2 linked regions of the Saccharomyces cerevisiae S288C genome follow. The protein of the gene in region 1 binds, or shares a complex with, the protein of each later gene. Each region holds a gene or a part of one and is shown in the gene's direction. Other genes may lie near its edges.

Region 1 (3,951 bases):
TTTCATTACTTTTATTTTTTTTTTATTTTTCTGATTAATATTTATTTATTCTAGGTACATCAAGAGCAGAACAAATTTGCCAACTTAAACTACATATGCTGAACAATATTCTCTTTTTAATTTCTAGCTTTTAACGCAATGACCATTGTGGACAATGCGAAATATGTCAAAAAAAAAAGCAGCCAGAAGAAATTCTTCGGCAAAAGGAAAACTACTATACAGATTGAGAAGCATAGAATTAGGTATTAGTTACATCAGTAACGGGGATAACAAAAATAAAAGGGGGAAATGATGACGATGTTCTTGCAAGTTTTATTAAATTGTGCTTTGGAAAGAAAAAGATGAATATATCTTGCAGGTTAGAGGGTATTTCCTAGTCAAGTCTAGCATATATGAGGTCATACGACTACTTGAATAGATTCGTTGGAAGAGGAATTATTGTAAATATTTGAAGATGCTGTTTCTGTGGCAATCACGCCGGCGTTATCGTCCGAAGGCAAAACGTCTTCACTGTGGTAGAGGCCTAGCGCCTTGTCATACTTGTAATAACCCGAAAATGATTCCACGTGGTTGAAATAGCGGGATTGTCTGTATCTTCCACCTAAATAAAAGTCGGCGGAAAGAATCATAAATATGATACCAAACCAAAATGCTAGCAACCATTCGAAACAAGCACTCTTAGATCTATCATTGATAGCACCAAAACAAATGGCCCATACAACTGCGAGAGTTAACCATATAACTTTTAGAGTTGCACTGATGGTAAATTTATTCCATACATGGCCTTTCCATTTATACCAAGGCAGCTCATCCACAGTGTTATAATCTTGGTTAAAGCTTTTTTCAGATGATTGAGGATTGAAATGAGGGCTGGCTAGGGGGTGGACTGAGGCATAGTGCCTTCCCATGAGGAAATACTCTGCAATCAAGCAGCAAGTGGATAGGAACATGAAGACGACGAAAACAGAGACCATAGCAATGTGAACGCGATGGTACAGGGCGGTTGAGAAGATGGAACTGAATAAAAGGGCTAGTTCACCAATGCTGCCGAGAACAAAAGCTGCGAAAATCAGGTTCCGTTCATCCTTTGTGTAATATGGAGGCATTAAGTATTTACCGCTGTGCAATTTCTCAGCATAAGATGTGGAATCAGAGATAGAAGGGTCTTTTTTTTTCAGTTGGAAAGGCAGATAGCCGGATCTTTGAAAAAACTCAAGGGCAACAGTGATTACATAGCCTAGACCCTGCCAGCCGGCGCACGATATAAACAGTGGCCTTAAATTAGTGGCACCTATATCTGAAATGTACACAGGGAATTGCTCCGAGTGCATGAACCAATATATGGGATGGCCTTGACTGGCCCAGCAAATAAGCATGGCTATCAGCATACCATACCATGGAATGAAGGCAATCCAGGGTACTATGAACAGCCAGTTACCTGGACTTTTAAATTGAATCATGCTATTGCTTGTACCTTCTATGTGTTTTTACTATGTAGCAGAACTTTTTACTATGAATGTTAAAAGTATCTAAAGGAAAAAAAATCCCGCAAAAAATTGTGTCTTATTATTTAGGTTTTTAGTTGTCCAGATGTTAAATCAGTAAATCTCAACTTCAGGGAATAACTATATTTATAAACTGAATGCCCCTAAGAAGGAGTGAAAATTCCGGTTTCATTCTCCTTCGCTTAGATGACAAATCTTCCAGGCTGAAAAAAGTTGCTATTTTTCCAGTTTTTTTTTTTCATCCATTTACTTTACTGCCGCGGATCCTTCAATTGAACAGAGCCCTTAAGCCGCAGAGGGGTAAGAGATCTTCGTTTTTGAACAGCCGTGGAAGATGTTTAGAGTTGGATATGGCTGGCAAGACCGTTGTGTTAGTCTTCATTGATAATCTTGGGCCTTATCCCGTCCTACTTGCACTATTATAGTGGAAATGCGATATGTCCGGTGCGTCATAGAGGAACGGAGGCCCTTGCTTGATTAGTAGCTACTCCGATTAAATGCGGTAGTGCCGCGCGGGTAACAGAACAGCGAGTTTTTCCTGTTTTCTTTTCCGTTCTTTTCCGTTTGTTTCCGTTCTTTTCCGTTTTTTTTTTCCGTTTTTTTGGTTTGTTTTGGTGAGCTGAGGCATCAACAAAATAGATATCTACAGTTTGGGGTGGGAATAGAGCCAGGTTGATCAACGTATGGAAAGAGCAACATAAGGGATTGTTGACACAAAAAATGGATTCTGCAAGCAAAGAGGAAACATTGGAAAAACTTGATCAAGAAATTACAGTGAACCTGCAGAAGATAGACTCTAACTTGAGTTTCTGCTTTCATAAGATCACCCAGGACATCATCCCACACGTGGCTACATATTCAGAAATATGTGAGCGGATCATGGATAGCACCGAATGGCTGGGGACTATGTTTCAAGAGACTGGGCTGGTGAATTTGCAGGCAAATGCAGCTGCACCAGTGGGAAACGCTCCAGTCAAAAGCCTTGTGAGCAATAATGTTGGTATATTTCCTACATCCGCTGAAGAGGCGAGTAGGCAGTCCCAGACAGACAATGGGCCTAACGAGGCAGATTCAGCTGTACATGTCAACCGGGATGTCCATTCTATGTTTAATAACGACAGTATAGATGATTTCCACACAGCGAATATAACATCCACGGGACAGATATTGAAACTTCCGGACTCTAGCGACGAAGATACTGGTTCAGAGGCGGTGCCTTCAAGGGAGCAAACAGACCTTACAGGCGAGGGTCATGGTGGAGCTGATGATGAGCAAGATGAAAGTACAATACAGAGACAAAGCCGCAAAAGAAAGATTTCGCTACTTTTGCAGCAGCAGTACGGGTCTAGTTCCAGCATGGTACCGTCTCCGATTGTGCCCAATAAAATGCGGAAGCAACTGGCTCATGAAGAACATATTAATAACGACGGCGATAACGACGATGAGAACAGCAATAATATAGAGAGCTCGCCTCTGAAGCAGGGGCACCACCACCCGAAGGGACAAGCGGATGATAACAACGAAGGGCCCGATGAAGAAGAGAGTACGAAAGAAGTACCAAAGCCTGGGACCATCATTCATTTTTCTACGAATAGATAGAATAAATAAGTACATACAATTTTTACTAGTGATGAATATCAGAACGCAGGGTAATGGGCCCGCTATATTTTTTCTTCGATATAGGGAGAGCCACATTCAGAATATTCAGAGTATTTGCATGTAGAAATTTATTCTAAGTGCGCCAGATATATGCCGGGAGAGGTCATTAGAAAACATCTGTTTGTGTTTTAACTTGAATTACAATAACAATAATACCAGTTTTATATGGGGAATATAATGTCAGCTAGTTTTGCGCCTGAATGCACTGACCTGAAGACGAAATACGATAGTTGTTTTAATGAATGGTATAGCGAAAAATTCCTGAAGGGAAAATCCGTTGAGAACGAGTGCTCAAAACAATGGTACGCTTATACTACATGTGTCAACGCAGCTCTCGTCAAACAAGGTATTAAGCCTGCTCTAGACGAAGCTAGGGAGGAGGCGCCGTTTGAAAATGGCGGCAAACTAAAAGAAGTTGACAAATGAAGTATATATTTTAGCACAGAATGTGCATTATTCAACATGTAAATACTAATACTGCAATATCGACTTATAATAATGTATAGTGATCCGTATATTAATAGATCTGTTTCAATTCTTTACCTTTTTAGGATATCCGTCACCCGTGATTCCGTCGGAGGTGAGCACTCGCCCAAATAAATAACGGGAAATGGTGGCAAAAAGTAGTGGCGGGAAAAGGAAAAATTTTCGTTCTCTCCCATATAAACGTTTCATTCCTTTTCCTAAGTCTTTTACAGTAATTTCAGAAACATTCGTATTTTATATTTGATCTTTTGAAGCTACAAGAAAAACTCTTACCAATTACCCCAAAAAAATCACCATCATA
Region 2 (2,786 bases), 260 kb from region 1:
ACAACAATTTCGATTTGGAAAGCACGCTGGCGGAATTGAAGAAAACTTTGAAGAAGAAGAAGACACCAAAGAAGCCAATTGCTGCTGCTAATGGGAGTGCGAATGTTACTCAAAAACTGGCAAACATCTCAATTTCGCAACAAAGGCCAAATGATCGGCTTCCAGACTGGCTTGACGAGGAAGAAAGTGAGGGTGAACGCAATGGTGAGGAAGCCAATGATGAAAAGACAGTTCAAAGATACTATAAGACTACGGTGCCAACGAAACCAAAGAAACCTCATGATATTTCTGCATTTGTTAAATCTGCCTTACCTCACTTAAGTTTTGTTGTTCTTGGTCATGTTGATGCGGGAAAATCAACTCTAATGGGCAGACTACTTTATGATCTGAACATTGTCAACCAATCCCAACTGAGAAAGCTACAAAGAGAGAGTGAAACTATGGGTAAGTCATCCTTCAAATTTGCATGGATTATGGATCAGACAAATGAAGAGCGCGAACGTGGTGTAACAGTGTCAATTTGTACATCGCATTTCTCTACCCATAGGGCAAATTTTACTATTGTGGATGCGCCAGGCCATAGAGATTTTGTTCCAAACGCTATAATGGGGATATCACAAGCAGATATGGCTATACTTTGTGTAGACTGTAGCACCAATGCTTTCGAATCAGGATTTGACTTGGATGGGCAAACAAAGGAGCATATGCTACTGGCATCTAGTCTTGGAATTCACAATCTGATTATTGCTATGAATAAGATGGATAATGTTGACTGGTCCCAACAAAGGTTTGAAGAGATTAAATCGAAATTGTTGCCATATCTGGTTGATATTGGGTTTTTTGAGGATAATATTAATTGGGTACCTATCAGTGGCTTTTCCGGAGAAGGTGTTTATAAAATTGAATATACAGATGAAGTGAGACAATGGTACAATGGTCCTAACTTAATGTCTACTTTGGAAAATGCGGCGTTCAAGATTTCAAAGGAGAATGAAGGAATTAACAAAGATGATCCGTTTTTGTTTTCTGTGTTGGAGATCATCCCATCGAAAAAAACAAGTAACGATTTAGCACTAGTTTCAGGAAAATTGGAATCAGGTTCTATTCAACCTGGTGAATCTTTGACAATATATCCGTCGGAACAGAGTTGTATTGTGGATAAAATTCAGGTTGGTTCTCAACAGGGCCAATCAACGAATCACGAAGAGACAGATGTTGCCATTAAGGGTGATTTTGTCACTTTGAAATTGCGCAAAGCCTATCCAGAAGATATTCAAAATGGTGATTTGGCAGCATCAGTTGATTATTCGTCCATTCATTCAGCACAGTGTTTTGTTCTGGAATTGACCACCTTTGACATGAACCGACCTTTGCTGCCAGGAACACCGTTTATTCTTTTCATCGGAGTCAAGGAGCAACCTGCTCGAATCAAAAGATTGATTTCATTTATAGACAAGGGCAATACTGCAAGCAAGAAAAAGATTAGACATCTAGGCTCTAAACAACGAGCATTTGTAGAAATAGAACTAATTGAAGTAAAGAGGTGGATTCCTTTATTAACTGCCCATGAAAATGACCGTTTGGGAAGAGTTGTTCTTAGAAAGGACGGTAGAACCATTGCGGCAGGTAAAATATCCGAAATAACTCAGTAGAAGGGTGAAAATAGATGATAAGAATTTTATACGCTTCTGTATGTAATTTTTTCAATTTCTACACATTAATAGCGATCCTTTTTTAATATTTGAATTTAGTGTAACGCGAAAATAAAAATATGAAAGTACTTACAAAAGGTTAGAGGGCGACAATACAAAAGAATACCTGCCTCTGAATATATCTAAAAAACTATTGAATAGGTTTGAAAAACTCATAATTCAGACAGTTATTATGGATTCAATAGATGAACAAATTGCTATAAAGCGAAAAGAACTTCAGTCATTACAAAAGATAACCAGTTTAACGGATGGCTTAAAAATTCAGCTAACAGAGTTGAATGAGCAGATCAAAGAAATGGGAATGAATGCGGATTCAGTGGCCCAATTGATGAACAATTGGGATTCTATAATAAACAATATATCGCAAGCAAGTTTGGGATTATTGCAATATGCAGAGGGTGATTATGAGATAGGACCGTGGAAAGATTCTAAGAAAAAGGAATCTGAACAATCAAATGAAACAGGTCTTGAAGCGCAAGAAAATGATAAGAATGATGAAGATAATGATGAGGATGAAGATCTGGTACCCTTGCCGGAAACAATGGTCAGAATTAGGGTAGATGGTAACGAATGAACAGAAAGAAAAGGATCTTATATAAATCGGAAGAAGGCAGTTGCGATAATAGCATATACATATTTATTATTATCATTCCCCAGTAAAGTTTATTATATATATGTAAAATTGTATTATAGATATTAGTATTCTACAGTGTTGGTTTCATAGTTGATGGTATAGTTTTTTTCTTTCGCTACAGAACCAATAGTCGAGTGCAACTTTATCTCGAGTGAGTTGTCTGAGTTCAACGTTTCCACTTGAGATATTTCTTCATATATCTCTTCACGTATGGCATTCTGATCAATAGGAAACCTGCCATATGTTTCGCTTATGTATTCTGGCGTCAGTAACGATTTGTCACATAAAAGATCCACACTGGGCAAGGGGAAATCATTATTTTTGGGTAGTTCTTCATCAAAAACACGTTTGACTATATGCTGAAGCAGTTTATCTCCTTCATTACTAGCATTTAGTAGAACGATTCTTCTCCATACCAAAGCATTCAAGAACTTTTTAAC

The links. The genes of interacting proteins can lie anywhere in the genome.
Region 2: the proteins of ASK1 (region 1) and DAD2 are in contact, whole or in part, in a cryo-EM structure (PDB 8Q84), measured with the Saccharomyces cerevisiae proteins. Residues at the interface, in NP_012872.2 of Saccharomyces cerevisiae: Lys6 (codon at 2,241), Glu7 (codon at 2,244), Thr9 (codon at 2,250), Leu10 (codon at 2,253), Leu13 (codon at 2,262), Asp14 (codon at 2,265), Glu16 (codon at 2,271), Ile17 (codon at 2,274), Asn20 (codon at 2,283), Leu21 (codon at 2,286), Lys23 (codon at 2,292), Ile24 (codon at 2,295), Asn27 (codon at 2,304), Leu28 (codon at 2,307), Phe30 (codon at 2,313), Cys31 (codon at 2,316), Lys34 (codon at 2,325), Ile35 (codon at 2,328), Asp38 (codon at 2,337), Ile39 (codon at 2,340), His42 (codon at 2,349), Tyr46 (codon at 2,361), Ile49 (codon at 2,370), Arg52 (codon at 2,379), Ile53 (codon at 2,382), Ser56 (codon at 2,391), Thr57 (codon at 2,394), Trp59 (codon at 2,400); in NP_013009.1 of Saccharomyces cerevisiae: Ile4 (codon at 1,894), Asp5 (codon at 1,897), Ile8 (codon at 1,906), Lys11 (codon at 1,915), Arg12 (codon at 1,918), Glu14 (codon at 1,924), Leu15 (codon at 1,927), Leu18 (codon at 1,936), Gln19 (codon at 1,939), Ile21 (codon at 1,945), Thr22 (codon at 1,948), Thr25 (codon at 1,957), Asp26 (codon at 1,960), Leu28 (codon at 1,966), Lys29 (codon at 1,969), Leu32 (codon at 1,978), Thr33 (codon at 1,981), Leu35 (codon at 1,987), Asn36 (codon at 1,990), Ile39 (codon at 1,999), Lys40 (codon at 2,002), Met42 (codon at 2,008), Gly43 (codon at 2,011), Ala46 (codon at 2,020), Asp47 (codon at 2,023), Val49 (codon at 2,029), Ala50 (codon at 2,032), Met53 (codon at 2,041), Asn54 (codon at 2,044), Trp56 (codon at 2,050).

What each region holds. Positions count from the first base shown.
Region 1 is NC_001143.9:338,821-342,771, reverse strand, and holds ASK1 (Ask1p), read left to right. Parts: upstream 1-2,225; coding exon 2,226-3,104; downstream 3,105-3,951. Other genes in the region: SFK1 (Sfk1p), read right to left, coding at 399-1,460; MDM35 (Mdm35p), read left to right, coding at 3,330-3,590. UniProt on the Saccharomyces cerevisiae protein: Component of the DASH complex that connects microtubules with kinetochores and couples microtubule depolymerisation to chromosome movement; it is involved in retrieving kinetochores to the spindle poles before their re-orientation on the spindle in early mitosis and allows microtubule depolymerization to pull chromosomes apart and resist detachment during anaphase.
Region 2 is NC_001143.9:595,921-598,706, reverse strand, and holds DAD2 (Dad2p), read left to right. Parts: upstream 1-1,884; coding exon 1,885-2,286; downstream 2,287-2,786. Other genes in the region: ribosome dissociation factor GTPase HBS1, read left to right, coding at 1-1,652; NUP133 (Nup133p), read right to left, coding at 2,409-2,786. UniProt on the Saccharomyces cerevisiae protein: Component of the DASH complex that connects microtubules with kinetochores and couples microtubule depolymerisation to chromosome movement; it is involved in retrieving kinetochores to the spindle poles before their re-orientation on the spindle in early mitosis and allows microtubule depolymerization to pull chromosomes apart and resist detachment during anaphase.